Drosophila melanogaster: one gene and its partners. The protein of the gene in region 1 interacts with the protein of each later gene in a pairwise test. Each region holds a gene or a part of one and is shown in the gene's direction. Other genes may lie near its edges. The genes, in order: CG31140, CG12081, CG9133 and Pex14.

The links.
Region 2: the proteins of CG31140 (region 1) and CG12081 interact in a two-hybrid assay, tested with the Drosophila melanogaster proteins (one large-scale study listed by BioGRID).
Region 3: the proteins of CG31140 (region 1) and CG9133 interact in a two-hybrid assay, tested with the Drosophila melanogaster proteins (one large-scale study listed by BioGRID).
Region 4: the proteins of CG31140 (region 1) and Pex14 interact in a two-hybrid assay, tested with the Drosophila melanogaster proteins (one large-scale study listed by BioGRID).

The regions. Positions count from the first base shown.
Region 1 is NT_033777.3:23,959,947-23,967,626, forward strand, and holds the start of CG31140 (uncharacterized protein), read left to right. Parts: upstream 1-3,233; 5' UTR 3,234-3,277; exon of another isoform or gene 3,278-3,287; intron 3,288-5,853; exon of another isoform or gene 5,854-5,858; 5' UTR 5,859-6,644; coding exon 6,645-6,756; intron 6,757-7,680. Other genes in the region: AP-1sigma (adaptor protein complex 1, sigma subunit), read left to right, coding at 952-996.
Region 2 is NC_004354.4:8,583,968-8,591,274, forward strand, and holds CG12081 (uncharacterized protein), read left to right. Parts: upstream 1-4,843; 5' UTR 4,844-5,183; coding exon 5,184-6,395; 3' UTR 6,396-6,807; downstream 6,808-7,307. Other genes in the region: CG12065 (uncharacterized protein), read left to right, coding at 1-288, 489-608, 876-1,013, 1,843-1,951, 2,019-2,278, 2,585-2,641, 3,291-3,558, 3,621-4,200.
Region 3 is NT_037436.4:1,248,122-1,257,433, forward strand, and holds CG9133 (uncharacterized protein), read left to right. Parts: upstream 1-3,890; 5' UTR 3,891-4,045; coding exon of another isoform or gene 4,046-5,111; intron 5,112-5,182; coding exon of another isoform or gene 5,183-5,602; intron 5,603-5,731; exon of another isoform or gene 5,732-5,872; intron 5,873-5,954; coding exon of another isoform or gene 5,955-6,022; 5' UTR 6,023-6,103; coding exon 6,104-6,203; exon of another isoform or gene 6,204-6,245; coding exon of another isoform or gene 6,246-6,276; coding exon 6,277-6,923; intron 6,924-7,366; coding exon 7,367-7,618; 3' UTR 7,619-7,865; downstream 7,866-9,312. Other genes in the region: Sac1 phosphatase, read left to right, coding at 170-1,948; Bfc (booster for Crq), read left to right, coding at 2,756-3,511; CG9130 (uncharacterized protein), read left to right, coding at 4,046-5,111, 5,183-5,602, 5,955-6,022; tfc (triforce), read left to right, coding at 9,041-9,239.
Region 4 is NT_037436.4:20,775,817-20,782,765, forward strand, and holds Pex14 (peroxin 14), read left to right. Parts: upstream 1-2,982; 5' UTR 2,983-3,116; coding exon 3,117-3,227; intron 3,228-3,286; coding exon 3,287-3,589; intron 3,590-3,861; coding exon 3,862-4,290; 3' UTR 4,291-4,562; downstream 4,563-6,949. Other genes in the region: pitslre, read left to right, coding at 1-237, 358-891; Pex16 (peroxin 16), read right to left, coding at 1,253-2,166, 2,227-2,338; Pcif1 (phosphorylated CTD-interacting factor 1), read right to left, coding at 5,842-6,514, 6,575-6,703, 6,769-6,894.

The DNA.
Region 1 (7,680 bases):
GTCCTTGCAGCAGCGTTGTCATTATCTTTAAGTTCCGAATCTGATGTAAACCACCTCGGCTGGCACACACGCACTCAATCGATTTTTTTATTTGCATGCCGTCTTGAGTTTCGAAACTTGCCTACTCGAAAACGAATTGTGAATTGTGAGAATCTACCAGGAAATATTAAATCGCCACAGTATTGAACTTGCCATAGATGTTGCTGTGCAGTAAAACTAAAACAAAAACTAAAACCTTGTTTGCCATTTATAGTACAATTTTTAGCCTGTGTTTATTTTGTGACCGTAACTCTTGTAAGTCTCCTAACCCGATTTGTAGCAATATGTCGATCGTAGTTGGCTTGATTATTTTGCATGACCTTTGTAGATGAATTTCTAATGTTCAACTAAACATATTCTTGCCATACCATAAGCCATATATAAATGTGTAACCCATGTACCCTCTCTCTTGTTATTATTAACGCTTACCCTACCCGCCACTGCATATATCGATGTTAACACAACTACTACCACCACGAACAACCACCACAGGACTTCAATGAGTATCTCAACTAATCAATGAAAACAATAAATAAATACCAAGAAGAAAAGAAAACCCATCCCAAAGAAACAGTGTAAAGAACATAAAGTTATATTCCCGATCTGCAAAGAGTTAGTGGAGAGTCGATAGGTCAGATCAGTCAATCCTTCGTCCAGCTGTATATATATGTGTATATTGCCCAGCTTCTATTTCCCTGCCTTCCCCGCGCTGCGCTGTGATGTTCATCCATATAATATGCATTTCGTGTTTCCAAGTTGTGCCGTACATGAAAGAAAAGCAAAACAAGATCGAAATTGGTTTCTTTTTTGGACACATTCTACTTACACATACACCTACTACTCTTACTACCACTACTACTCTCTTTCCTTCTACTCTTCTCGTTCTTATTGTTCTTATTCTCTGTACTCCAGGACGAAGCCGTTGAGGGCACTTTAAGAGACATTGGACTCCTCTAAAGAACTAGAACACCCTAGAAATTATGTAGTTGATATTACACGCACACCCCGACACAATAACACACACAGTTACACCCCAGCGATAACGTGTGCTGCACTTGGCACTTTACAGCACTGCTCCATCCACTCCTCAACACTAGTGTGTGATTTGGCTGTTGTACAGCACTGAAGCGCTGAAAAAAAAATTATAAGCAAGAAGACGCCAAGCAGCGTGAGGCTCCAAAAAGCAATAATACTATATAGTAACATCAGAGCATCTGGTATGCGGTTTTTCATACACTCTATCTCGTAAATTTCACGCACAGACACAATAGATTCAGAAAAGTTCATGCAAAACAAGCCAACCTCACGTAGTTCCACCTGGGGTTCCTGAACTGAATTAATATTCCTCTTCCTATCTACATTTTATAATCGAAAGATCATTCCAATCAATCACCAAATGGGCAATAACTAATTTAGTGGGGAAATATATGCAATACTATTCTTACAATAGAAACATGTAAGCTTTAATGTTGATTAAATGAGAACGATATATAATTGAAAATTGTAATAATAACCGAATAAAAAAATCTAGTTTATCTATATCTACAAGTATATATATATATATATATGTTTATGTATGTGTGTTGTACGTTTTAGCCAAATTTTCTGTGTTTTGTAACTGAGAAAAACAAGTTAAAATAAAAACCAAGTATTTTTGAAAAAAAAATCCTAATTGTACTCGTATGCTATATGAAAATGGTAAGACCTGGTGAACCTCAGTTTTCTTTTTAGTGTCTTTGTTAAACGTTTAGTTTTGATTGTTGTCTTTGCTGTTGTTGTGACTGACCAATTTGACTGCTCTAAACTCTTGACGCCCACATTGTTCCACCTCCACTGATCTGATCTCTGAGCTCCACTCCCTCTAAACTGTCTATCTACCTATATGTCTGGCTTAGCGCACCCGTTTGGTGTCCTTTCGTTTTTAGTTGCTACTATATACCACCCTTTTTCATAGTCTTTTTCATAGTTAGCCCCCAGTATCGATACTTTTATTTGGTTTCCTTTTACCCCAAGCGCTGTAAAGTATAGTAACATGTAACTGAAGCTAAGCATTCTCCCTTTCCAGGATGAGACCCCGCAGAGTTTCTTCGACGATCACGGCCTGGGCTAAGTTGGCTCTATGCAAAAGTAACGCCAGAAAGGCATTATCTATATTGAACCCATTTAAAGTCGCCTTAATTGTATGTGTATTTAACGTAACCCAAAAGTATACCGGTTCTATTGTAATTTAACCACCCTGTGTCAGCATAAAAAACATTGTGTATAGAAGTGCTGTTAAACCTATTCCTAATTTCGCTTGGCAAATGCAATTTGCAATACATTTAATTTCACAAAAAAGCATCAATATCGGTTGCTCACACACGTTCATATTTGTAAAGATTAACTTAATGATAAGCAAAGTAAAGCGATGCGATTAATCGACGGTGTGCTCAACTCTATAGTTGTAAGTTAAAAGCCCTATAAATATATAAAAATTGCTGTATCCAAAGTAACCAATCAAAACTCTGTTTACTTTATGCATTCTTTGCTGCAAATAAAGATGGTATCGAGCGTGAGAGTTTTTATATTTCAGTACTACTCTTTTCTGTTGGGACAATAGTACGTCATGGTTATGACGCGGAATAAGCACAAGAAAGTAGGCAATGGTTTTTGAAAAGTTCGTTTTTATGAGATTTTACTAACTTAAATTATAAAATATAAGAAAATGCATTTTCTTACTGATTTTAATATTGAATGTAAAACTCATTTTTTTCAAAAAACCTACATTTCTAACCTTCAATTAAGCCTTAATTTAAAATAATGGTCGTTCTTTGGGCCAATTTCCTCTCTTAGCTTGGCCACATTTATTTTGGGGCCAAGTTGGCAGCTCGCCGACCAACAAATTGTTGATTTCATTTTTATTTGGGGAGGGGGGGTCGCCAGAGAGCATCCTGACTGCGAACGAGAGAGATAGAGAGCGACCTGGCTCTCTCCCTAACGGGAGCTCCCCAACATTTCCCCCTGTTTGTTGTTGGGCACGCACGCACACAGGAATTCGGCGAACTCAACACACTCAGCGTCGAGCGAGAGGGCGCGATTGGCCCCACGGCGTGTGCGAGCGGGACGCAGCGAGAGCGCCAGGCGGAGCAGCGGCGAAGGCAGCGATAAAGGCGCTGCGCCGCGAGAAAGTTGCAGACCCGTCCGCAGAGCGCACCATCGTCTTCAGCGGAGCACACACAGCAGCTAGGTGTGCTCTTCCGTACGTAACGGTTGCGGATTTTCACTGGATTTCCATTTTCACACAGCCAGCACACAGGAAAATTCTCACACACTCGCAGCGAAAAAGTGCATAAAACGCGTGGAAAACTCGGGGGAAATCGCGATGAAAACTTGCGAAAAACTCGCTTTAACTCGATTGCTGTGCGTGTGAAAATTTTCCATCCGGTGAAGGAAAAAAAATTCGAAAGTGCGGCTAGAAAAGAAAAACGAAGGAAAAAGCAGCAGCGCCAGCAGCAGCAGTAGCAGGCAGCATTAGTGGCAGTGTGAAAATCGAATGTGCAAAATTTTGCAGCTTCAAAAATGTATGGTACATAAAATTTCTCTCTCCAAAATCGCGAGTGTGTGTGTGCGCGTGAAAATTACGTTGTCATATGTGCCAAGTACCAAGAGTTTTCCAGGCCCCACTTTCCCATCCGAAGCCAAAGTTTTAACAAATTAACTCCTTCGTGTGATTAGCAATGAAAATGGAAAAAGACAAGGCCACACGCACTCCGTCCAGATACATATATATTCGCATATATATACCAATCAGACATATATATATATACATACATATAGATGTGGTGGCAAGGAATCAAGCCGCGCCAGCAAAAGAAAGAAAGAAAAAAATTCTCTATCTATTGCGATTTGCTCATGCGGCCCGAAAAGAGCGAAGCGCGCAGCATTGGGTGGGAAAAGTGGGTGGCAAGTCCAGAGGGGGAAAGGGGTGGGGGCGTCAGTGGGCTGGGTGGGCGCCACTACGGGTACGAAGTACGGCTGCTTTGTCTACAGTTGTAGAGTGTGTGTGTATACACAGCCTCTGAAATCTATATATCTCGCTTTTTTGGGCCCCCCATTAGCATCCATAATTTTCCGTTTTTTCTGCTTCTGCGCCTCTCCCAGCCCAAAACAAAACAATAATTTCCCTAAGAAAAGCAAAGCCGCAAAGTTTTCATCACCCAACCCCCAAATTGCCGCCCGTTCAACGCATTTGTTGCAAAAATATTGCTCGTTGTGATTTATCCTTAAACTTGGCCACTTTCTTTGAAACGCTCCGTCGTGGTGGAGTTGAGTTCGCGCGAGCGAGTGTGGTGGGTTCCGGAGTGCGCATGTCGCCAGGACATCGCCTGGTGGCCAGGATATATGGACACGGGAAACGGGTCCTGGACATTCCACGTCGTCAGGCTGGCTCCAAACTCACAGTTGCGGTGCAAATAATAGTACCGTCAAGTCCAAGTTCACAACTCATTTCTCAAGTTCGCAGTACTTCTACTTCAAGGGTTAACAACTTTTTTTTATAGAAAGTAACTGCGTATGTGGATTCCAGTTTTATAGATATTCCTTGATTCCATCTATAATCTGCTTTAAGTCATCATAACTACTATAATTTCGTGTAGGTGCTTTTCTGCGCACACAAACGATGCGTTAATATCAATATTCGATAGGATCGAATATCGAACTAAAATTTGAGGGTTTTAAACAATAGGAAACTCATATCTTGTTGTCACAATAGATAGTTATAGAATTATGAGCTTAGGACATAATTCGATGTAAAATCAATGCTAAAAACATGTCATATACACTAAATAAGGACCAAGATCCTTGTGCTTGAGGGCCATTATGCCGACCTTAACTTTGCGTATACACACAATGCGGATTTGTGCGCCTTCCGTTAGCTATCGTTTATTGTCATCAAGTTGAAAACTTCAAGTGTCGTTACCTTTGTTTCCGTCTATTATTAGGACCTGTATGATATAATATTTGACTGGATTGTCCTTGGCCATACCCGCTGGCGGTGGGCGGCCTTTGGCTGGGAGGGGGTGGTGCTGGGAAAGTGGGTGGCGGTGGTAATTGGTTCGTCGCAGAACATGTTGCATACTTGAGGGCGCCGCAGCTATGGAAATTGATAGAATCGCTTTGGGTGGGAGAAATTGAAGCAATGCAGTTTGCTCTAGCTCCCTCTCTCGCTTTCTGTGCCACTCTCTCTTTCTCCTTTTCCCTATGGTTCCCTTTCTCCTTTTCCCTGCGGTACACGCTGTTGATATCATATTTTTGCCACTTCTATTATTATATTGATGTCTACTACTTTTTTATGATGCTCCAAGAATACTGGGAACTTTTTTACCCAACTCACCACGCATGACGCGTGCCTTCTCTCTCGCGCAGCCCCATTTCTCGCTCTCTTTCTAGCTTTCTCTCTCTCTCTCTCGCATTTCCCTGTGGAAACTCCCGCTCTTGTGGATTTTATTATCGGGAAACGTTTTCCTTTCATTTTTTGGCTCTGCTGTTTTTTTCTTTTGGGGTGTGCGGCGCCCACGTATCAGCGCAGAAAAGCGGAAAGTGGAAAAGCAAAGGAACGAGCGAAGTCGAAGAAAAACATTTTCCGAGCTGCTGCTGCTGCTGCGACTGTTCGTTTTCGGTAGTAGTAAAGTGAAGACCGCCCGCCGAGTGAAGTGTGCCTACGTGTGTGTCCGCGACTGTGTGTGCAGTGCTATATACAAAATTCAATTGGAATTTATTTATTTCAAATGGCACACATAAATTCTAACAAGCAATTATCAAATTTATTTTGTTTAGTGCAGCGCCAGAAATTGTAAATAATTAACAGTTAAAAACTCACCACCAAAAGAAAGTTATAAACGAAAACGCTTAACCAAACCAAAGATGCATGAATATGAATCAAAGCAAATATGATACATAGCCAATATGTATATAGAAACTAGTAAGGATAAATAAAGTTCAAAGCGAGGAAAAACACCGATCCCGACAAGCAAATGTCCGGATAAGGGAGCCGCTACCTGACCAATGGATGAAAATGCAGCCGTCGTCGCCGTCACTTTCGCCGTCGTCACTATCGCATCGCTTTTGTCAGCAGCAACAGGAAAAGTCGGAAAAGCACCAGCAGTACCAGCAGCACCAGGAGCAGCAACAGCAGCAGAAGGAGCAGCAGGATCAGAAGGAGCAGTCCTGCCACGCCCACGCCAATCGAACGCCCTCGGTCGGTACGGCAGCGCTGGCTCAGCTGGCGTCGACGCCCGCACCGGCAGCAGCGGCCTAAATTGCCCAACCGCAAGAATCCCACTTCGAAATAGCCCATATACACAGCAGCAGGCGATATTGCAACTGCAACACATACTGCACTCGCAGCAGCCGCGAATACTGCTCATATAACTGCAACATCGAGAGACCTTTGCCGCTGCAAGCGCAACAGCAACTGCAGCTGCAACAGCATCCTCCAGCAGGACAACGCACAAAAAACCCACTACGCATAAGGCAACGGGGCATAAGGAGGCACAAGGAGGCGCAGGAGGATAGACCGGAAGCAGAAGGACAGGAAGTGGGGCGGGCTGCGGACACAGGCAAACAAAATGGCGGATGGTGGGCATTCATTCGTGAAGAAGACATTTCATAAGCCAACATACTGTCACCACTGCTCGGATCTGCTCTGGGGCCTCATCCAGCAGGGATATATCTGCGAAGGTAAGCACCGAGCTAGTACAAGTACTTTAAATATTTTCAATGAGATCACAGGATATCCCACATTTTTTTATTCATATTTATTGCGTAAGCAATTTGATCAGAAAGGCATATCTTACATTGGATTATCTCCTTCAAGATAATCGTTAAAACTGAATTTTCTATATGAAACTACATCTTTCGTCCATCAGTTCTCAATTCAGTCTCAACGGCCGCAATAGAAATAAGTTGTAATTAATGAGCACTAAACAGAACCGAGAAAACGCAGCACGCAAATCATCGAACATCTTCAACGCCAGCGGCAGATGTAAAAATACATTTCGTCTAGTTTTGAAAATACTTTTTAAATTGCCATAAACTTGGAATGAAAATGCGGCCGCTGATGATGTCGATGAGGATGAGGCAGTAGTGGGTGGCATAAACATGCACAGAATAGCGAAATATAGGAATCTTATCATGAAATGATTACTATTATTTTGGATAGTATATGTGAAGTGTTCAAAGCATCAGTAAAAAGATTTAATAACTTAATTGGGTGAATGTATATCTTGACATTTATCAGAAAAGGTTTGCTATTGATAAAATAATAAAGTAATGTAGATTATCCGAACCGAAAATAAAGCAATTGGTCTGTGCCTCGTCCGACAATTGCGTTTTCCCTGTGAAACTAAACAAGTTCTCCTCGTGCAGAGTGATCGGCAGACCCGACGTCATCGCCACATGACCAATGGGTCATCTACGATTTGTGTAGATTGTACGGATCGTGTAGATCGTATAGATTGTATAGATTGTCGATGTGCTCCGACAGTGGCAGCATCTAGATCTGGTGTGTAGTAGCATTGGCATAGGGGCGGCATCATCGTGCTATTTGCGGCCGATAAGTGTGCGCGTTTGAACTTTTCCAAATTGTGCGGCTGTTGGCCGTGT
Region 2 (7,307 bases), on another chromosome or scaffold:
GCAAACTGGTCGATGAGATCAATGATCGCGTTCATGTCGCCGGCGGTGATCATACGGGCATCATCATTAACAAGGACACGGTCGCCGGACAGAAGAGCGCCAGCAAGGCGGCAGCGCTATCGCTGGAATTCCGCGTCTTTCTGGTCAGCGCCAATACGGGCAAGCATTCGCAGGAGTCGCGCACCCTGCGCTTCTGGTTCCGCGACTGGCTGACCAACGAGGAGAAGCAGGCGCACATAGCCCAGGACTTCTTCAAGGAGCTGGTCAGTCCGCAGGACTTTCCCAGAGGTGGGTCTGAATTGATTTGAAAGCAGTTGTGGTTTGATAGTAGAACCAATGGTTTCAAGCCTCTATTAAATGTATACATATGGTTTATGGTTTACTTGTATTAAATATGATAAGAAAATCCAGAACTTCTTATCAAAGTAAAGAAGGCGGTTATGAGAAGTTTTAGGTTTGCTTGATTTGCTTTTTATTTCTCTTTACAGACTACGTGGGCTTCATCAAGAAGATAATGAAGCTCCTGCAGCACGGATACTCGGAGATCCAGTCGATCGAGATTGAGCTGCGCATCCTGGAGGAGACATCCGCACCACCCTCGCGACCACGTGAGTATACCCTATTCCTTTCTATGCGGATGTAATAAGAGGGAACTTGATATTCGAGTTATTGTACCATTTGAATCAAATTTATGCCACTGCATATTGTGAGTAGCCTATTTTTATGCATTTTTGCTCGGTGAATATCAAATTCCATGTCTTACTTAACTTTCCGAGTCGATTGTAGTATGCGAAATTGACTTTTCATCTGAACTACATGGCTCCATCTATCCTCTGGGCTGTGCGGGTGGTTATTTCTATTTGTTTGGATATCAGCCCGGGATGGGTACATCATCTACTGCTACGGCGACTGCAACCGAAAGTTCGAGGAGGCGCTGATGGCGCAGCGAAAGACAGGTGACGGCGACAATCTGATGAAGGCCATTTGGCTGGACATGTACACCGAGCAGCTGAGCGCCCGGCGGAAATGAATCCCGATTCCAATGGCCCACTGCTCCAGTGCTCCCCACAACTAATCATCATCTAATCCAATCCGCTCAACGAACTTCGTTTTGTATCCGCTTCGTTGCACATTTCCTCGCCGCCTTTCCTGTTGTTCGTTCGTTTTTTTATTTCGTTTCTCCTTTTCGTACTAATGCACGCACTAAAAACTCACTAAAAAAAAAAACAGAACGCATTAAATATGTACACAAAAAGTGTTGTGCACTTCAGAGTATTGAAAAACAAAGAACGGATATGTAAAAAAGCGAAATAAAATAAAATAAAATTGCTAGTGTCAAATGCTCTGCAGTTACTGCTCCAAATCCACAAGGATGCCACATGAGTTTCCATTGCTAATTCAGCTAGGTGGTGAATCTACACTTGGAAATCTGTCGGAAAAAATAATACCCTGCAATTTTGGTCTTTCTACTTGTGCTGTTGTCTTCCGCATCCTGTGCTGGTTTGAAACTCCCGAAAGCATTCCCTACCCCTTTAGTTATCCTCAAAATGCAGTTGACATCTCGAGTGTCCAATTTGTCTGCTGTCTGCAATTAAAATGCGCTGCTTGAGCACTTAATTGACCGCCCTGCCAGCCGTCTGACTGTGTGTGTGTGTGCTCGTGTGCCTGTGCGTTTCCTTTACTAACAGACACCGCCTAACCAGCCACGCCCACCGCTCAGAGTAGATGTCATTGCCCGCTAACAGAAGAGTCCTTGCTAAATGTATAACCATTGGTAGCGGGAATTGCCCAGACATTGTGCTTTAATCGTGTTTGTTGTTTCCTTTGCTCTCATCCCCGTAGTTTCGCTCGAGGAATCGCAGTTCGAATCACCGCCGTTGACTCAGGAGAAGGTGCTGGAGCTCATCGAGCAGGCATATCCCAATCCCGTGTCCCCCGAGGATCTGGCCAAGTGAGTACATCAAGATCCGTTTGAAGTCTAGACCTGAGATGTAATTAATTCATTTTGTTTAATGCAGGGATTACGGCTGGAGCGAGCAGGATGTGCTGCTGGTGATCAAGTCACTGCAGGAGCGCGGTCTGATCAAGTCGATGGAGTACAATGCGTACACTCGCATCCATCACGAGGACAAGGAGATTAAGGTGGTCAAGCAGATGCCCACGATCGCCTCCAACAAGCAGCCCACCATTGCCATCATCACGGCGCAATATTGCGAGAAGCTCGCCGTGGACGCAATGCTCGAGAACAAGGAGACATTCGTCCGATACACCACAGTCGGTAGGTGGTTCAGTTCAGTTCAGTTCAGTTCGATAGCGAATCGAATTTCCCTCAACTCTTACTAATCAAACTCTCGTCTAACCGTCTTTTCTCTGTTTCTCTCTTTCCACTTCTGTATCCCAAATACCTCGACTTTTGTGGAAACAAAAAAAAAATATATATATATCCTCATCACCACGAAAATTTCGCCATAAACGAATGAATTTGCATACAAATTTGCTGATGTTTACTTGCCTGCAATGATATTAATTAAATACAAACCTTTCACCTTTCCCCCGAATCGAAAAATACCAAACCATGTAACAGATTCCGATCCCAATCTAACGAACTCACTCAGAAAGTCCAAAAAGAAACGAAGATTCGGTAAGCTAAATGTCCAGAATCCACTCCTTAACTCAGAAGCACCCATATGTATATCCAAGGTCAAGTTCATGAGTTTTTTTTAGATCATTAATACTCTAAAGAATCATCTTTGAATCAAAAATAACAATAGTAATGCAATCGATTGAACATGGAGCGTTCGCATGTATCGAGTGCGCACTGTACGCGAATGAGTTGCCATAAACTTGGATAGAAAGTTATGAACTTGGCCTAGAATAATTCGATTTGTTGTAACTTTCGTGTCCTTTGTGTGTCTGTGCTGTATCGTCGTCGGTGCTTTGTTTTGTTTCATTTGTTTTGTTGTTATGGTAAAGGATTGCCCCAGGATACATGACCTTATATTGTACATATACACATGTAACTACGTCATTAGACGGATTGATTAGATCCGTCACACACTCGGTTCATTAATTGGTTTATGTTTTGTATTTTGATCGCAAAAGAATATGGGATGTATGGAAAATTATAATTGGTGTTTCTTTTTCTTTTTTTAAATATGATTTGTTCCTTATTTCATGTTCTTTTCATTCCTCTTTGTATAATTTGGTATATATGTATCTATCAATGTCCTGAACGTAAACCGCTTTCTGTAAGCCAATCAATTGATCCAAACTTTCTCTCTACTCCACAGGCGAATCGAATGTGTATACTCTGGGCAATATCGGGGCGCACAGGATCGTGAGCACCAAGCTCCCGTCGGTGGGCAGCAATCGGGAGGCGATGACGGCGACGGGCAATACCACAACCCGTCTGTTGGGCACATTCCAAAAGGTCGACTATGTTTTCATCGTGGGCGTAGCCGGTGGCGTTCCCCACTACACGGACTATAAGAAGCACGTGCGACTGGGCGATGTGGTCATCTCGTATGTGGACAAACAGCGGGCACTGATCAGCAATAGGTAAGTTACACGAATATAAAATCTTCAATCTATCAATCGCATTCATGTATGGCTCTTCACAGCAAGGAGAAACCGTACGTGTACTTGTACAAGAGCGGCGAGGACGTGAAGACCTACTTCCCGGTGAACGATTCGCTGCAGCAGATCGCCGAGAGCCTGCAGGCCAACATGCAGGTGAAGCGGCCGTGGGAGGACTACCTGAACCAGGCCCAACAGGCGTTGGCCCAGAAGACGGATGCCGACTTCAACCGGCCGGACGCGCGGACGGACAAACTGTTTATGAACATTGGAAATAACGAGGTGATCGAGGTGGCCCATCCCATTGCCGCCGACGAGGTGGACGGTGTCAATCGGTTGCGACTCCATCTGGGTCCCATTGGATCCGGAAGGGATCTGGTGAGGAGCGACGAGCTGCGCACCCAGTTCGCCAGGAAGTACGGCCTACTGGCCACCGATGTGGAGATGAGCAGCGTGCTGGACAGCATCATTGGCAATTGCAGAGAGAGCTTTATACTGGTGAAGGGCATCGCTGACTACAAGGACGGCACGTCCACCAGGAAGTGGCAAAACTTCGCTGCCATTTCGGCGGCGTCGGTGGTTAAGTCGGTTATCTGCGGCATGGACGCGCCCACGAATGTATAGGAGGCGGGGCTTCGAATACCCCATTTCCTCCATTACACCCCAACCCCCCCGCCCACCCCTTCCCTGCAATCGTAGCATTTGATTTGCCTCCAATTTTCGTACCAATCCCGCTGCGGCGTCCCTTTATTTTTTTGTGGCCAGACACATGGGGACCACTATTCGTAAACCAAAATGTGCATAGATTGCATCATATATAATGTATGTTCGCGTAATATTGTATTAAATGATTTCTTGTTATTTATTTTGTTATAACTTTTGTACTACAATCAATCTAATTTACACACAAACACTTGACGTATATAAAAACACATATATACAACAGTAAATAAATATCGCAACTAAGCTTGCAAAAACTAAGAATATTCAATGAGAATTTGTGATTGAGTGAAAAAAAGTTCAGGTAAATTGACCAAAGACATTAGAATATTCTAATTCATTGTTTGGAGCTTCATCTTAAAAATCAATCTAGTGTAAATGCACATTGCCATTGCAACTGTTTCGCTAAAATAGCTAAATATTTAATGCAAATACATTGGATTTTCGAATTTGTCATTTTTTAAATGCAATTGTCAATCAGAAATCTATACTATCGATATCGATAACAGCACGACCCAGTGGAGCCCTGCTATTTCGTGCGTCCGCTCACGCACGCAACTCTGTGTGCTTGTGTTGTTCAAAAATTCGATCCGTTTCGTTTCGTTTCAACATCTGGCAAAACTGGCAGAGCGGAGCGCAGCTAGCGCTTGGTATCAGTGTTTATACCTGTGTGGCCTTCAATTGCTCGCACCTGCGCCCGCACCACCCTGCCCCCGCTCCCAAAAGGAGCGACAACTGCGGCGCACTTGCTTTCCTTTGTGTGTTTTGGCTGCTTGGGCTGCTCGGGCAGCTTGGGCCCAAAGCAAAGATCTCCGTCTCCTCGCACAGCACACTGGTGCTACACGGCTCGCAGCCCACAGCGCACAGCTTATCCAGTTGGCCAAGACATGCTGTGGACGGTGCATCTGGACGGTGGGCCACAGCGGGTCAATCACGCAGCGGTGGGCGTGGGCGACTTCATCTACAGCTTTGGTGGCTACTGCACCGGATACGATTATCGCTACAATGAGCCCATCGATGTGCACGCCCTGAATGCACACACAATGCGCTGGACTCTGGTGCCCCAGCAGCTGGACGACGCGGGTGTGCCACTCAAGTATCCGCTGGTGCCCTTCCAGCGCTACGGACACACGGTGGTGGCCTACAAGGATCGCATCTACATTTGGGGCGGTCGCAACGACGAGAATCTCTGCAATACCCTCTACTGCTTCGATCCCAAGACAGCGCAGTGGTCGAGGCCCCAGGTCACTGGCTGTCTACCCGGAGCGCGGGATGGTCACTCGGCCTGTGTCATTGGCAATAGTATGTACATCTTCGGTGGATTCGTCGATGAGATCAACGAGTTCAGCAGCGATGTGCATTCCCTTAATCTGGACACCATGGAGTGGCGCTATGTTCAGACATTTGGCGTGCCGCCCAGCTACAGAGATTTTCATGCGTCGGTGGCCTACGAACAGGAGCGAATGTACATCTTCGGCGGGCGGGGCGATAAGCACAGTCCGTACCACAGCCAGGAGGAGACCTACTGTCACGAGATCGTCTACCTGGACATGAAGACCAAGGTGTGGCATCGACCGTTCACGGCCGGTAAGGTGCCCGTTGGTCGACGCAGCCACAGCATGTTCGTTTACAACAAGCTGATATATGTCTTCGGTGGCTATAATGGCCTGTTGGATCAGCATTTCAACGATCTGTACACCTTCGATCCGCGCACCAAGCTGTGGAACCTGATACGGGCCAACGGCAAGGCACCGACGGCGCGTCGGAGACAGTGCGCCATTGTGATGGGCACTAGGATGTTCCTGTTTGGCGGCACCAGTCCAAGGAGCGGCTCCTCCAGCTCGCCGGCAGCTGTTTCACCCACTCAAGAGACGGGCGGAGCCGCAGCGGCTGGCGGAGTTGTTCCGCCCGGTGTGGCGCTTATCGACTACAGCGATCTGCATGTGCTCGACTTTGAGCCCACTCTAAAAACCCTGGCCACCATGGTGGTGCTCAAGCACCAGCTGGACATCTCGGGGCTGCCAAGGAGCTTCCGCTCGGACCTGCAGATGCTGACACAGCCGAACAGTATTAGCCGGCCCATCAACCAAGCTGGCTAGCGTCCAAAGCCGTAAGGAATAAGCCGGAGTCGACTGCCACAAAATGGAATGAGGTGGAAAAATGGTGTTGAATCACGGAGCCACTAGTCCGGTTCTTTGTATTGGAGCTCGAATAACACTTTCGGGAGAGATGACGAATGGAGGACCTGAGCGAACGAGGGAGAAGCCCCAGTAATTACAAAAGTTTTAGAAACTTGCTTTTGGTACTTCTGATAGCTGCTAAATAATACACAATAATTATGACCATGCGAATGTAGAATATAGTTCATGAAACATTTATAAATCGTCCTCAAATAATACACAATAATAATGACTATGCGAGTATAGAATATAGTTGATGAAACATTTATAAATCGTCCTTTCGCCAAAATGCCCGATAAGAAAATGAATATAATATCTTAAACTCATTAATCATATTATTCAGTTTTGTTTACTTTGCCTTCTTGCTGAATTTTGTATAGCTGGTTAACTTAACACTATATTAATCTGTGGGCCGTTCATTGCGAACTCCAAACTTGCACGAGTCGGCTGTTTAAATATTTGCTTTTCGCATTAGGATCTATGTGGCAGCCGTTTCGTTAATTTAGACACTTTCAAACCGCCAAGGTATTCATCTCACCTTGGAATTACCTAATCTATTTTTGCGGTCAAACTAGTGACAAATCTCTATAACTAATTTACAGAGATCATCTCCTTTTAGGCAGTGTATGCATATATATATATATATGGTAATTGTGGATGTAACTCCCCTTGAACGCGGTGTTCCAGGCAGGAAACAGTCATCGAATCACTTGAAAGCAACAGCCTCGCACGCAATGCCAGTAAGAGTAAGGTCAGCAGCGCTCTAATTGCCTATTATGAGTGGTAGTTGCAACGCAAGGCCTCCAGGTGCGGAACACAGCGAGTACTTGG
Region 3 (9,312 bases), on another chromosome or scaffold:
TGGCTGATTTTGGTGCTGTGCGTGTGTGACAGCGGTGATAGCGACAGTGAATCCCCGATTACAGGAAGTGAGCAGAGAAAGAGGAAGCAGCACTGGCTATAGCTATTAACCCTTATCCCATTTTTAACCCTTAGTCTTCGAAGTGGGCCAGCCACCGCCCCCGGAAATCATGGACAGCAGGGAGGAGAACGCCGTGTACGATGACATGAACCTGTACATCGCACCGCAGAGCTTCATCATCGAGCCGAATGGAGGAGATGAGTTGCTGGTCATCGGGCGCCACGACAAAGTCACCAGGGTTCAGCCAGCGAGCGGAGGTCTTGTGGCCAACCTTCGCCCCACCAGGAGGATTTGTGGTGTGCTGGGAACCATTCACCTACTGAGCTGCGACTACCTTCTGGTGGCGACCCACCGCCTCTTCGTGGGCGTGCTCAATGGCGCAGTTGTGTGGAGATTAGCGGGCTATGACATCATACCTTACATTCCGAATTCCTTCCAGCGCAAGGAGAACGAAAACTACTTGCGACTGCTACGCCAGACACTTGACACCAAGTTCTTTTACTTCTCCTACCGCTACGACCTTACCAATTCGCTGCAGCGACAGCGGGAGGTGGCACAATCGCGGCCTGAAGTATCCGGGTTGCTCCAGCGCGCTGAGCAGCGATTCGTTTGGAATGGCTATGTGCTGCGGCAGTTCAACTGCGATAAGATGGAGAAGTTCCAGCTGCCACTCGTCCTGGGCTTCGTGTCTATCAACCAGGTGCAGATCAACGGGCAGACATTCTTCTGGAGCATCATCACCAGGCGTTCCGTGCAGCGGGCGGGCACACGGCTCTTCTGCCGAGGCAGCGACGAGCAGGGCCATGTTGCGAACTTCGTAGAGACCGAGCAAATAGTGGAGTTCAACGGGCAGCTGACTGGATTCGTGCAGACACGAGGCAGCATGCCCTTCCACTGGCACCAGCTGCCCAATTTGCGCTATAAGCCACGACCCGTTCTGGTGCCGGGCAAGGATCATTTGGCCGCCTGCGGGCTCCACTTTAAGGAACAGATCCGGCTGTATGGCAACAATGTGGCTGTGAATCTAGTGGATCACAAAGGTGCCGAAGGCGAGCTCGAGGCGACCTATGCCCGCCTGGTTCGAGAAATGGGAAATCCACAAGTGCGATACGAGTCTTTCGACTTCCACAGCGAGTGCCGTAAGATGCGCTGGGACCGGCTGAACATACTCATCGATCGCCTCGCCCATGAGCAGGATCAGTTCGGTGTCTATCATGTCTTCGACGACGGCAAATTGGTGTCCACGCAGACTGGTGTCTTCCGAACGAATTGTATCGACTGTCTCGATAGGACGAACGTCGTGCAGAGCATGCTGGCCCGCAGGTCCCTCACTGCGGTGCTCCAGAAGCTGGGAGTGCTTCATGTGGGCCAGAAAGTGGAACATGCCTCCGACATTTTCGAGAGCATTTTCAAGGGCGTGTGGGCGGACAACGCGGATCTGGTGTCGCTACAATATTCCGGAACGTGTGCGCTCAAGACCGACTTCACCAGGACGGGCAAGAGGACCAAGTCTGGTGCCATGCAGGACGGCAAGAACTCGCTGATGCGCTACTATCTGAACAACTTCGCCGATGGCCAGCGGCAAGACAGCATCGATCTTTTCCTTGGAAAGTATCTGGTCAACGACAACGAGGGCGGTGCCGTGCCATCGCCGCTGGAGTCGAAGCATGGCTGGCGGTTCTTCACCTTCCCCTCGGTGCTGCTTGTGGCTGTGGCCATGTTCATGATCACGATGACCTATCCGGCCGAGTTTAACACGGAGAACCTGCTGTTCATGCTCTTCTGGGGCGCAATGATCGCTGTCAGTGCCACGGGCATCCTGCACTACGGCGTCGAGTTCGTGCAGTGGCCGCGGCTTTTTCCGCCCATCTCCTTTCGAGACCCATGACGTTAGTGTCGTCTAGCAGAGTCACTGGGAACTACCTCTGCAGCTAAACTGTCCCATTGCTCCGAGAAAGAACAATTGTAAACCAATTCTGTAATCGATTCGACTTCCTCTCAATTTCTGTTTTGTTTTATTCTGTTTTTGTTTAGTCTTAAAGCCCCCCCCAGTCCATTCCCTTCTGCAACTTGTTAGTCATTATATACACAGATCACTTACACTTAGGCGAGCTTCAGGCGGCTGGAAAAGGGGAATGATTGGGGTTTCGATCGGGAAGAAGTGGAGTTGTGAAGGCGCCGCTTATTAACTGCGATTAACTGCAATGTAGATCAATCACTTTTGTAGAACCATTTAATGACATTAAATAAAGTATTTTACGCATTGCTAGAAAACCTCAGACCGGCGTCTTTCTATCTACTTGTGGAGGTGAAATGTAATTAATGATATGGGTATATGGCGTTTATGACAACCATAAAAGATGGCCAGTAAAGGTTAAGAGTACAGGTTACCCAGAGGGTGTTAATCATATAAAGAATGTCATTGTTGATATTTTAGTAGGAATGCAGAGCTCTTAGCTTTTTATTTATATATTTTGAATCGTAGGCAGGCCTTTTACATTCAGTCGCATAGATCCATTTCGAAAATCAGTCTTTCCTTTTCGGCACGTCGTCAAAATCTGAATTCAAAATTCAACATATTTATTTTTCGTCAAAATTAGGTTTCAGTGACTGAAAATTTCTAAAAACGTTTTCAACACATAACAAATTCTTTGGTATAGTAATTTTGTCAAATTTCTAGTTTTTAAGCTTTTATATGAGAATGGACAAGTCGGAGAAACGCTCTAATCTTGCTGATAACTTCCTGTATATGTTGGAGTTCATGGTGGACGATCTGCTGATCACTCGTCCCAACCTCTGCGCTCCGGAGGAGTATCCCACTTGCACGGAGATCACGTTCCGTTCGGTTTTCCTGAACATCCGCGATCGGGAGAACGGAAGCTGTGTCAACCCCTGTTCGCCCAAGTGCGGCAAGTGCACCCTCTTCACGCTGGAATCGCCGATCACGGACGAGGACGTGATGCACATTCACGTTTACAAGAAGCGCACGGAGAGCTGCAAGTTCCTGCTCGGGCTGACCGAGCTGCCGATGAAGCCGATCTTCGATAGGGTGAAGAAGGAGTTCTATTCACAGAACATAAACTGGGAGAGTAACGTCGAGTCCCATTTGTCGCGAATGCCCAAGCTGAGGGGCCCCTGCAAGAAGGCCAATGACTGTGTGTGCTACGAGAGGAATAGGGAGCGGCGCGAACAGTGGTGTCCCACCTCAGAGCTGACCAAGCGGATGCTGCCGCTCTTCAACCTCTGCAAAATGCAGACGGGCAATATAGTGCTGATCCTGAGACTGGTGTGCAATGGGCCCTCTGTGGTATCCTCCTTCCCCGTCCAGAGACCAGTGTGCAAGGATCCCTGCAACTGTTGCTGTCCTTGCCCGCCCACTTGGCCTGCTCCCTGTTCGTCGCCATTCGATCCCTGCGATCCTTGCAAGACCGTGCCAGCCAAGAAGACATGAGTAGGAAATGCAGCTGCGAGCCTTTATATTCCGTACTCATTTAGTTGCCATAAGCATTTTTATTGTTTGACAAGGGATGCGCCTAGCAACTGATAATCATTCGCATATCTTAACTATAAATAAAGTATTTGAATAATTTTTATACCAATTCTGGTGTTTCAGTGACTTGAGGAGGCTATTGTCCATTATAATATAATTTAATATTAAAATTTATATATATGTTAGAAATAAGACCTTACTAGGCATTTTAGGCGTAATAAAATCTACATACAGACAGACTCATCTGCCTAAAAGACAATCTTAATATCGAAAATCAAGGAATCAAGTTTTCAAAATTCATCCGATTCCAGTAGCCCTCGCAAATCCAGTCGGTTTAGCAGTTCGAACACCACAGTCTCCCCGTCTGGACGGCCATTCAAAATCAGAATCTAAATTCAAATTTACTCACAAAATTTTTGGAAGTGCGAGTGTTCGGGCATATAAATTTCTAGTTTCGACAAAACAAAAGCCTAGCCAAAATTATTTCCTTTGAAAATGGACAAGTCTGATAAAACTGAGAAAACTGAGAAATCCGATAAGTCTGAGAAGCCAGAGAAACCTCCCAAGATTGCAGGAAACTTCCTCTACATGTTCGAGTTCGTAGTGGACGATCTGCTGATCACACGCCAGAATCTTTGCGCTCCGGAGGAGTATCCAACCTGCACAGAGATCACGTTCCGCTCGTCGGTTTACGTGAATCTCTGCGATCGGGAGGTGGGCACGTGTGTTAACCCCTGTTCGCCCAAGTGCGGCAAGTGCGCCCTCTTCACTCTGGACTCCCCCATTACGGACAAGGATGTGCTGCAGGTGCATGTCTATAAGAAGCGCACGGAGAGCTGCAAGTTCCTGATAGGACTGTCGGAGCTAAAGGTGAAGCCCATCTTCGACAGGGTGAAGGAGTCCTTTGACATCGAGAATCCTGACTGGGAAGACGCCATGCTGGGGCACATCGCCCAGCTGCCCAAGATGAAGGGTCCCACCAGCAAGGGCCTCCTGGACAACTGTGCCTGCTACGAGAAGCTGAACGAACGTCACGAGCAGTGGTGTCCCACATCGGAGTTGTCCAAGCGACTGCTGCCCCTCTTCAATCTCTGCAAGATGCAGACTGGCAACATAGTGCTGATCCTTAGATTGGTGTGCAATGGTCCGACCATTGTGTCCACGTTCCCCTTCAGCAAGGTCTGCTCCCGCAATCCCAAGTGCCCGGAGCCCTGCTGCGGTCCTTGTGGCCCCTGTGGTCCCTGCGGCCCCTGCCCACCACCTCCCAGCTGCGGCTCGTGCCCACCGCCTCCTAGCTGTGGCCCACCATGTCCTCCACCCTGCGACCCCTGCGATCCGTGCGATCCCTGCAGTCCCTGCTGTGGCGGCGGAACTGCCACCGGCGGGCCCATGGATAAGAAGGGCTGCAAGGGCTCGTGTGCCCAGCCTCCTTGTCGTCGCTGTACAATGGTGGATCCTTGTGCCAAGCGAGTTGAGCCTCCGGCAAAGTGCCTCAGGTACTACTCGTGCAATCTGGACAAGCTCTGTCCCTGTGACTACTGCGAGGACGAGTTCGATAGAGGTGACTATAATCTATCATCAGCATATATAAATGCTTCCTTTTAATGATGTAATGTATATACTTCTTCCCAGAATGCCCCACTGTTCCCACAAAGCGTTGCAATCTCTCGCCGATCGAACAAAAGCTGCAGAAATGCGGTCCCTGCGGCGGAATTCCACCGTACCCACGCTTCATCCAGGAGAAGATGCAGGCCGAGCTCTTGAACAAACCGGAAAAGGATCCCAAGAAGGACAAGGATGGCAAAAAGGGTGGCAAGGATGGAAAGGACGCAAAGGATGGAAAGGGTGGCAAGGACGACAAGGGCAAGAAGAAGCGTCAGGCTGGAGGTGCTGTTTGCCGCGTAGGAGACGAGAATAGTCCGTCCGCCGTCTACGAAGACTGCGATCCTGTCTGCGCAGGAGTCCTCCAGGCGACCAAGAAAATTCGGTACAAGGAGCCCACTGTCAGGTGCAACGGACGGGAGGAGGAGTACGAAATGGCCTGTGATGAAGGTGAGCTCATATATGTATGTATTTAGAAAACGATTTCAACTGGGATTTCGAGAATGCCAAGTAGGCTTCGAAATGAACAACAACACAAACGTCTCGTAACTCCAGCGAAACATTTAGTAACATCTAGTAGTCGGGGTGTAGAAGATCACTCGTTTAGCATTTGTTTTATACATTCGAACGGGAAATGTTGTCTGCCGCACAAAATACAGAAAAATAAAATCTTTCGTTGTTGTTACCCGAGTTTTGGATGGAAATTAAAACAGAGAATCAGTACGTCCGAACTATTTTTTTTCCTATCAAGTTAAAAAATTTTCGAAGCGATCCACTAACCCAAATTCAATTTTCATTTCAGCGCGAAAACGAGCTGTGCGGAAATTGCGCCACTTACTGGTGAAGTACAATATCCAAATTGAGAATTGAAGGCTTTCGGAATTGAGATTTCAGCTTGAGCCTAGTGAATAATTGTATTGACTTACACACTCAATCACTCAACCGCACAACATGGCCAAGAAGAGGGGAAGAAAGGGCAAGAAGGGCAAGAAGCCAAAGGTCGACTGCAAGTTCAAGATCACCAATGAGATGCTCAAGCCCATGAACGAGAGTAAGTACACGCGGATCCCTGCACCGAAGCTCGGGCTTAAGGATGATTCATCCCTTCCAATTGGTATCCTCAGATGTGGACGACTGTGATGGCTGCTGTCAGTGCGCCTGCGATTGCGACTGCAGTCCGGAGTTGGCTCCCTGCTTCATCCAGCCGACCAAGCCGGATCCGGGTCCGGAGGCGTACGACGAGTTCGAGGCCTGCCTCAATGGCAGCGGTCTGACCATACGCGTACTCAAGAACACCCACAAGGTGGAGAGCGTGATGGATGGCAGCGAGACTGCGCCCAATCTGGGCGCAGGCGATGATCCCTGCTATCGCGATGACCCCAATGACTGCGAGCCCGCAAAGGAGTCCTGCCTGCACGATATGCTCCAGCGCAGCTCCTTCGCTCGCAACCACATCAAGCGCCGGACCGGCGGCCGCATCATCAACCACCCGAACATCCCCAAGGTGCGAGCCAATATCAAGTACTCTGGGAACGATGCCTGCGAGACCGACAACTACTACGTGCCCTTCTCGAAGATCAAGGAGGCCTGCGACTTCCAGGAGGCCAAGGTCGACTGCTACCGCCAGCGACTCTGCGGCGGATCCGATCCCATCGTGCCCGCGCACTGTCCCGTCCAGAACCAGCGATCATGTTGCATGCAGGTCGAGCGGAAGGACATCATGGACACCATGAAGGGTGTCAATTTGGACACAAGGCGCAAGGGTATCGAGGTGAGTCCATCCTATATTCATTTGCGCAGCACTGAGTGGCCTAAGGAAATCCATATTTCAAGAATGTTCGATCTTAAATCATTAACCACAATCGCCGATCGCCTCCGCATTCCATTTTTTAAGTTCGCCAGTTACGTGTGCGGATGCGGAATGTGGATCGATTGGTAGTCCGTGACTTTGCCCCCCTAAACGTTGTTGCAGGTGGTGCAACTATGCCACTTCTGCCACTTCGGGAAGGCTTTCGATTGCCTCAATTGTGGGGCAGTTGCGTAACATCTGCCAGCTCCAAGTGTGGAGCACTCTTTTCAGTTTGCGGTGGCAATCCGCTACAGCTTTTTTATTTATGGTAATTTCTGCGAAAGATGCAACGCGTTGCATTGAGACTATTTTGGTTAGCTGTTGCATAGTATCTAAAAAGATTTGTCGCTTTTCTTATTTTTCAGGTTTGCTACAAGACCTGCGAGGAGACCGACAGCGACGTGTTCCTAGTAAAACTGGGAAGTAAGGCCAAGTCGCAGCACAAGAAGAATACCATCGAGATCGAGCTGCGGACGCCCAAGCAGCCCGTAACCCTTCCGATCAGCAAGGTGACCACGGAGACCTATGTTTCCGAGGAGATGCTAACCGGTGGCAAGAAGGGGAAGAAGGGCAAGAAGGGCAAGGGCAAGAAGGGCAAGGGCAAGAAGAAGAAGTAGACCAAGAGATCCGTAGGCGGATCCCATTCCCATCGACCGGACTTGACGCTTACCCTTTCGGAACACATCCTTTGGCATTTTGGAAGCGACTCTTTGAAAATTCACAGCAGCAATTATTGAAATTTGGCTCTGGTACTAACCCATTCATATTAACCCGTCCAGTAAGATGCACGAACACTCACTTTTTCGACTAGTTACGTAAATGTATGCTTTTGATTGAATTAAAATTAAGAAAAAAAAAAACAATAATTCTAGTCCCATTTATGATTAGTTGATCTGATCCCTCACTGATTGATCTGATGTAGATACCCTAACCCGCAGTAATCTGCTTGCAAGTGTATATGCCCATCTTCATTAAGGGCACTTAACTGCCCAGTCAAGGCCGCGGAGGTGTTTCATCTGCAATTGAGGCGGGTCTAAAAATAGCCGACAAAACCAATTCGCGATGCAGAACTCTGATGCCGATCCGATCCGATCCGACCATCTTCATCTATTGCACACCTGTAATTAAAAGCCAGAAATCTTCGCGGGAGGGAGCATCGAGGAGGAGGAAAAGCCGCCGTTGGATGCAGCGGCAGCTTAGCGGTTTGGTCACTTTGCAGTGACTATACTATACGGAGAGGGAGAGATCCGAGAGACCAGAGATCGCAGATCGGGCCAGCTGACCGATCCGATCGGTGGCTCGGAGAGGAGTCGAGCGAGGAACTCGTTTTAGTCGCGTTCAAACGCTTTAGTCTGTAAGTTAACACGGCGAGTGCGAACGCAGGAAAGAGTCGAGAAATCGTGAAGCAGTGCCCCAGCCTAGATGTTAACCATTCAGCGGATCGGCCCCGAATGTGAGCAACTTCTGAGATCGGTCCACGACAGACCACAAAACCAGTGAGGAGAGACCATCCGCTCCAGTTCGCTCGATCCAATTCAATTTCTGCCTCTCGCCGCGAAAGCGGAAAGAAAGTGAATTGAGTGGAGTAGATTTGGGCGATTACTTAATCCGCGTTCGCCTCCACGACCAGGCATCGGACGAACACCGGGCTCCCAGTCCGAATTCGAGGGCGCAAATTAATGGCCCTCGTTTAGAGACTCAACCCGCCCCATCCAGCGTTGACAGTTGGGCGGAGAAAAGCATAGTATTTGAATATTAAAAACTAAATCCGAGAGATACCACAACATTTCCCCAAAACTTTGATAATTTAGAAAGCGAAGCTGCATACCAAATAGGCCCCCGATCTAGAGACACCCGAAAGTCCAACCTCCGACGGTCAGTTGGCTTTCAGTTCCAGCTCGAGATCGCAGGTTATAGCATACCACAGCCGACTGGCTTTCCCCGGTTTTCGGTTACGTGCATCCGAGAGGTCTCCGCCAAGTGCAGTTGCAACTTTTACTGGTGTCTAAGATTCGCGTGAAGAGTGCAAATCGGTGATCATGATCCGCCCCACACTTATCGTAGTGCTCATCTCACTGGCCAGTGTCGATTCCGGCCACAACTCACCCGTGACCACCATCCCGGTGGCCGAGCCCATCAGCCAGGTGCCCCACGGCTTCCAACTCGGCCAAAACAATCACATCAGCAGCAGCAGCAACATTAGCCGGAGTGGAGGCGGAAATGGCCGTGATAAGAGAGGTAAGTACTTGGCCCCTTTGAGCCACTTTTCCAAGTGCCCCCATTGTGGCCATCCGTGTCAGGGTCGGAGCCT
Region 4 (6,949 bases), on another chromosome or scaffold:
GGCATTCTCAAGGTGGGTGATTTCGGATTGGCAAGGGAGTATGGATCGCCGATCAAGAAGTATACCTCACTTGTTGTCACTCTCTGGTATCGTGCACCCGAGCTCCTTCTCTGCTCGCCGGTTTACTCCACGCCCATAGACGTCTGGTCGGTAGGCTGCATTTTCGCCGAATTCTTGCAGATGCTGCCGCTCTTTCCGGGAAAATCTGAAATCGATGAGCTTAACAGGATCTTTAAGGTAAGCTGTGGTTGAGCATTAAAGTTTAGTTATTAAAATAAGCTTGTTGAACAATTGTTAGTATTAACTTTGAAATTCATTTGCCGAGAATGCTTATTGACTTTTGATTTATTGTTCTAGGAATTGGGAACTCCGAACGAGAAGATCTGGCCAGGATACACCGAGCTCCCAGCCGTGAAGAACATGTTGTCGCAGAACTCTCAGTTTACCGAGTATCCCGTCTCGCAACTGCGCAAGCACTTCCAGGAGAAGACCTCTGAAATGGGCTTGTCGCTGCTGCAGGGTCTGCTGACGTACGATCCGAAACAAAGACTGAGCGCCGACGCGGCACTAAAGCACGGCTTCTTCAAGGAGCTGCCATTGCCCATCGATCCATCCATGTTTCCCACCTGGCCGGCCAAGAGCGAGTTGGGAGCCCGCAAGGCGCAAGCCTCTTCCCCCAAACCGCCATCCGGTGGCTCGCAGTTCAAGCAACTAGGCCGCGACGAGCCCATCATCGTGGGACCGGGAAACAAGCTCTCATCTGGGATTATCACTGGCAACAAGAAGAGCCACGGAGCTGGTGGATCGTCGGCTAGCACGGGATTTGTCCTGAACGCTGGAATAACGCAGCGCCAGTTGGCCATGGGACCGGGATTCAGTCTGAAGTTCTGATTCTGTGTGTTTTAGCCCATTACGATTACGATTAATTGTTATGTATAGTTAGCGATGTAAGTGGAAAATTTCGTTTAATTGTATGTGTATAAATATTGTTCCATATATAATTTAAAAAGCCATACAAAGCAATTGGGATGTATAATCATTTTTCACCTCAAGAGCGGCAATGCCATGTGGGTGGGTCAATTCAAGGAATATGAAAGTTGGCTATAAACATATCGAAAATTACTCCATCGTTTTATTGTGCAAACAACTTTTCAAGGACCAAAACTCAACCCACCCTCAACACTCCGAATGCGTCCACACCTGTAACTTTAAAACTTAGCCTAGGGGAATACTAACGCTCTACCTGAAATGCCTAAGTGGACCACAGATAGAAGTAAGTGCTTTGCCACGTGGGAATGTAATCTTTAAGGGGTTTGGCAACCACCTTAGCAATGGGCACACTTGTGGCCACAAAGTCGAGGATCCGCTCCAGTCTGGATTTGGTGAAGCTGTCATAGAACGGCGATCGGACCAGGAAGTACATGATGTTTATGCATCGCCTGCTCAGCTCCAGTTTTTGTTGCTTGGACATTAGGTCGCGATGCTGGCGGTAGAGGTGAATGCTATACAAATCAATGGATAATGCTACCATATATTGCTTCCAACTTCTCCGGCCGAACAGCCCCATGGCGACCAGGTGGATTAGTGGCTTCGATATATACAGGTATTCTGCTTGCAGGAGTTTCCTCGGAATTTGCGTCTTCGCCGCTTCATTGTTGTCTATATGAAGCTTGAAGTCGCGGTATTGCAGGGGAGGAGCACCCTCCACTTTACGAATCACACGGCCAGATCGCTTCAATTGGAAGGTAATGGAGTGCTGGGACTGCAATAAATCGTTCGTGGAGGAGGCCACACCATCCCCCGAATTCTTCCTCTGTTTGGCCCTTCGATTCAGTGCGGCGATGGGCGGTGAGGTGATTATATCCGAGGTTGAGTGTTTCAAGATAAAGAAACGGCCCGCTGCCTTGAAGGCCTGTATTAGCGCTATCACCAGCCACTTGCCGGATTGACCGAAAAGCCGACGGGCTGATATCTCGATGAAAACCTCGCTATATTCGAGCGTCGTCAACGTGACCTTTAGACGGTAGCAAAGTTTCGATTGCAGGTGGATCACCGAATTCTCCTCGGAATTGCGTGCCTTTTCGATGATCCGGTCGTTGTAGAACACCAGCATGTTTGACAGTGTATATACCAGCTCACTGACCACATTTGATGAGGAAATGCGACCTGGAAGCCGGCCAATGAGATGAGTCTGTAGGCTCTATGTAAGCAAGGAGTTCACTTTACCTGCTATAAAGTAGGATACCCACTTGGCTGTGGTCTCAAAATCCCCCACCACGTCGGGGTTTTTGCCCACCCACGCCTCGTACGCCTTCAGCATGCCCTTCAGAGTGTCCATTATATCCGGAAAATATTGTCTGTTCCTCCAAATAATAAAAATAATGAGGTGTTTCGGTCTACAGGTAATCAAATCGGTGCAGTTGTGGTGTTCTGGCGTTTTGAACAAGGCGTTAGTGCTTTCATGCAACACAAAATAGAAGGTGACGCAAAATGAATACATATATGAATGCAAGCACGGAGAGCGTTGATTAAACGCTTTGGATTAATAAAATTGGTACAAAAATAAATACCAAATACCAGTGTCACGAGCTTATCGCCATTACACTTTCAAATTTTACCACATTGGTGCTTACACGTCATAGAAAAAGAAACTAATAATTAAGGACCCACAATTTGTAAGAACCACATTTGGCATATCTGCCACCAACCTTTCATAGCCCCTTTTAATGTTCTTCAATGTAAAGATTTGCTTGTTTAGTCTCGGCATCTTAATTCAAGTTTCCTGATTCTTTATACTGCAGTATATTTTTATTGGGTATATTATGCATTTAAAATTTTAGCCCAGGTACTATGTTCTTTATAATAGAAACATTTCTTACCAAATTTTTCGGTAAAAACATTTTTCCAAGTTCAAATCTTTATTACGTTACAAATTACCTTAACGTTATACATAATAACCCTAGAAACGCTAATGCATTAGTAATTTCGAGAGCAGCAAAGTCTTTGGTCACACTTTTGTTTTTGTGCACTTTGTAATCGAATTGCTCGTGAATTCGGATTCACTCCGTTTTCGTGTGTATTAGCTAGGCAAGATTGAATTAAGAGTCGATATACAGATGTCCAGCAACAACACGGACACTGGGGACACCACCGTCATGGCGACGGCTACCTCGGTGCAGAACGATGTCGAGGCCGGCGTAGATGAGCAATTGCCTCGAGAATCGCTGGTAATATTTGTTCAACCCCTTCAAGTTTGCCTAATCTATAATCCGACTATTCGCCGCAGATAACCACTGCAGTCAGTTTTCTACAAAACACCAAGGTGCGCCACACGACACTTATCCAGAAGCAGCAGTTCCTACGGTCCAAAGGTCTCACCGCTCACGAAATTCAGCTGGCCTGTGAACGGGCCGGCGTTTTCACCCAAGACCCCAACAAGCCCAATCCGAATCCGAACACCGTCATTAGCATTGGATCCCAATTGCACGCGCTGCAGCCGCAGCCGACTGTCTTGGGCCGGATCAGGGAAATCATCCATTCGGCAGCCCTGTTCAGCGGAGTCGTCTACGCAGTCTACATCTTCTGGAAGGTGAGATGCAGTGGGATCTCTATTTCGGGGTCTTTTAAAAAGATTTATTATATTTACTCCACCAACTCGAGTGCGAATTTAAAGATCGCCATCTTGTCTAAGGCTTAGATACATTACACATATATTTGATGACACTTTTACCAGACGACGTTGAATTTACTTAGTATTTAACACATTTTGTAAAAGTGTTAGGACGCATAAATAAGTTTTAAGTGGTCCACCAGTCCAAAGTCCATGATTGCTAATAACTTCTAAAACCCGTATAATTTCAGCAATACATTGCGCCCTACCTGTTCGGCAAGTCCAAGAAGAAGGCGGTCGATGAAGTCCTGGACGACATAGACAAGAAGGTAGAGACCCGCACCAACGACCTCAACAAGGAGATTTTGGCGGTCAGGGATCTGATCACCACACAGCAAAGGGAACACGCCCAGCAGCTGAACCGCGAATTTAGTAACTTCCGTAGCGATCTGGATGCCATTAAGGGCCTGCTTTTGAACCGAAAACAGTTCGCCGGCCCTGTGGCTCCGATCGCAGTGCCATCCATTCCCGCCTGGCAATTGGCCGGCTCACCGCATCACCATCACCGGCACAGCGGGTCGGACGACAACGAGAAGGGCGATGATGCTGGATCCGGGTCTGGCTCGTCGGAGACAGAGGTGGTCACCAAGAATAGTGACTCCAGCTTGGAGATCATGTAATGCAATCAGAATACGAGGCTGGCTATATAGACGTAGTATATAGTTACGCTGTAAATTGAGTTTCCCCGTTAAATGCCTTCAAGACTTTTGGTTTTTTTTCTTTGCGTTTATAGCATTTAAGGTTTCTTTATAGTCAACAGCTAATCCATATCCAAAAGTACATACACACACTCACATATACACACTTATGCGATACGATGTCTATACAATGTAATAATAAAAAGTTTACATAATAACAGGTTTGAATTGAAAGAAACTGTTTAATTAAGCGCAAAAATGCTTTGTGTAGTTTTTTGTTTATCGGTACATACGGGGTGGGGATAGCATATCGGTTTAGACAATAAATTTCGACTTAGACGATAATTGGATTCTAAAAATTTTGCCGAGTGCTACTTTCTATAAATTGGCTAAATTCCCTTAGGTTTGATTTAAGATTATGCCGGGCGGAGCACCTCGAGGTTTTGCCTACAAGCTCCTTGAAGACTCCACCCAGATCCTTAACGGATTTAAATTATTTATTTATTGTGCGGTGCCTAGTTATGGTTTTGTTTCAATTACAAATTTGGTTCTCTGCGCATTCCCTTCATTAAATTTCCTTCACTACTTACGTTAGTTATCGATTTGTACATACGATAATTTAGTATTCAAATAATTGTTTGCCATTTTCGTAAAAGTTAATGTATTCTAGTAAGTTAATATTCTCACAAACGATTGTTAAGGGCTTCACAGTTCACATGAATGTGTTCTTTATTTCTCACTTCGTTTTGTGAATGGACAAACCATTGCGAAATACCCTGAAACAAGGATAGAGAACAGTACCCCTACCCATACTATGTATGCATTATTAGAGTCTTTTGTTGGGTAGCTTGGCCCTTGTTTGTTGGGTACAATCGTATAAGATAAACAGCGGCCAGGCCGGCATTTTTATCAGCTATTTCAAATTAAATATAACATATTTACAATTAATTATACCTTGCGATGGGGGCAATACCAGCTGCCAAAGGCCGAGCACTGTGTACGTTTGAAAATTAAAGCTTTGACAAGAAGTACAAAAATGTGTACGTTTGAAAATTAAAGCTTTGACAAGAAGTACAAAAATGTGTAACAAAATATTTAGTGTTTTAAAGCCTGTTGTTTGACCCAAACGTAATTTACCATTCGGACAGGCATCATTTGATTAACACCGAGCGATGTGTAACGTTACAAATTAAGTTTTTAAAATAAGAAATTACAAAATATTGCGTAATATGTATATGCGTTTTCCTGGTTCCAACGATACATTTTGAAAACGGAATTGGATAGTTGTACTTTTTCGGAAAAACAGAAGTTGCCATCCCTTTGGCTTCCGCGTTTGTTTAAATTAAAGCGATTATCATCCGATTACACAAAACTAAACCTCAGAACTGGGAGCATGGCCGCTAGTGTGGCTTCAGGCCCAATTGGTTTTTTCTTCCTCAAATGTAACCCTAATTTATGCTAACAGAAAGTGCACAGATAGTATGGACAAAATAGAACCATGTGTGGATAGCAAGATCCCAAAAAGAATCAAATCTAGACGGCTGAGTTGATGACCGCTTGCGTGGATGCGGAACTACTGATGCTATTGGCCTGGCCAAATGCAGATCCCGCTCCAGCAGCCGATGTGGTAGTCGTTGCCGTAATGCTCACCGCTGCCGCTGTGGCAGATGTCACTCCATCCGGATAGCCGCCCGAAGCAGGAGCCGGTGAAAGAGACATCGTCGACGAGGAGGGCGAAGAGCAATCGCTTTGCACACTCATTGTGGGCGAGGCGGCCACCAAATTGCTGCTACTGCTGGTGTTGCTGATGGTCATCGGAAACTGTGGCGGCGGATTCCCGGTGGGCGTGTGCGGGGACAGTGGCGACATTGAGGACGATGTTGTGGTCAGCGACGGGCTGCTGCTTGTGCTCGTTGTAGTGGCTGTGGATGAGCTGTTGCTATTGACTCCACTGATCGTACAGGAGTTGGTTGTTGGAGCCGTGGATGCGGCGGATGGGGGCGTCGATGGCGATTGCTGGCTGGAGGTTACCCCAGCTGCTGCCGCCGCAGCTGCAGCCCGCTCACGCTCCCGATCTCGTTGTGGCCTGAAGGCCTCACGCAGTGCCTCCACGCGAATTTCATTGGGTCCCCATCGCGCGTATCCGGCGCTATTTTGCAACCACACCACCTGTGTGCCCTGCATGCACTTGATCAGCACATCAGACCTGGAAATTAACGGAGTTAAATAAGTATGAATGGGAAAAGCATAAGTTTAACTAACTTACTTTTGCAACATGTGCTGATAGCCGTGTCTGTACTCGTGGGCCATGCCCAATACCACCATTGAACGGCGCTTGTACATGCTGTCGTCCAGCTTGGATATGCTCTTCCACTCCGGCAGAAACACAATAAAGCTGAGTAAAACAAGAACAAATTGTATTATACTCATAAGCAACATCAAACCGATGTTTAATCTCACCTCAGAGGCTCCATGGTGTCCGTGAGCAGTTTGTCGATGTGCAGCAAAGAAGCCTCAATCAGCTCCTCGCAATGAGGAGGGTTTACTTGGAAGGAACCGGAAACGGGCTTGAAGTCGAGGAAGGGCCTGTAAAGGTCACACATTTCACTTAGATTCAGCTTATTAAAATTCACTATTTGGC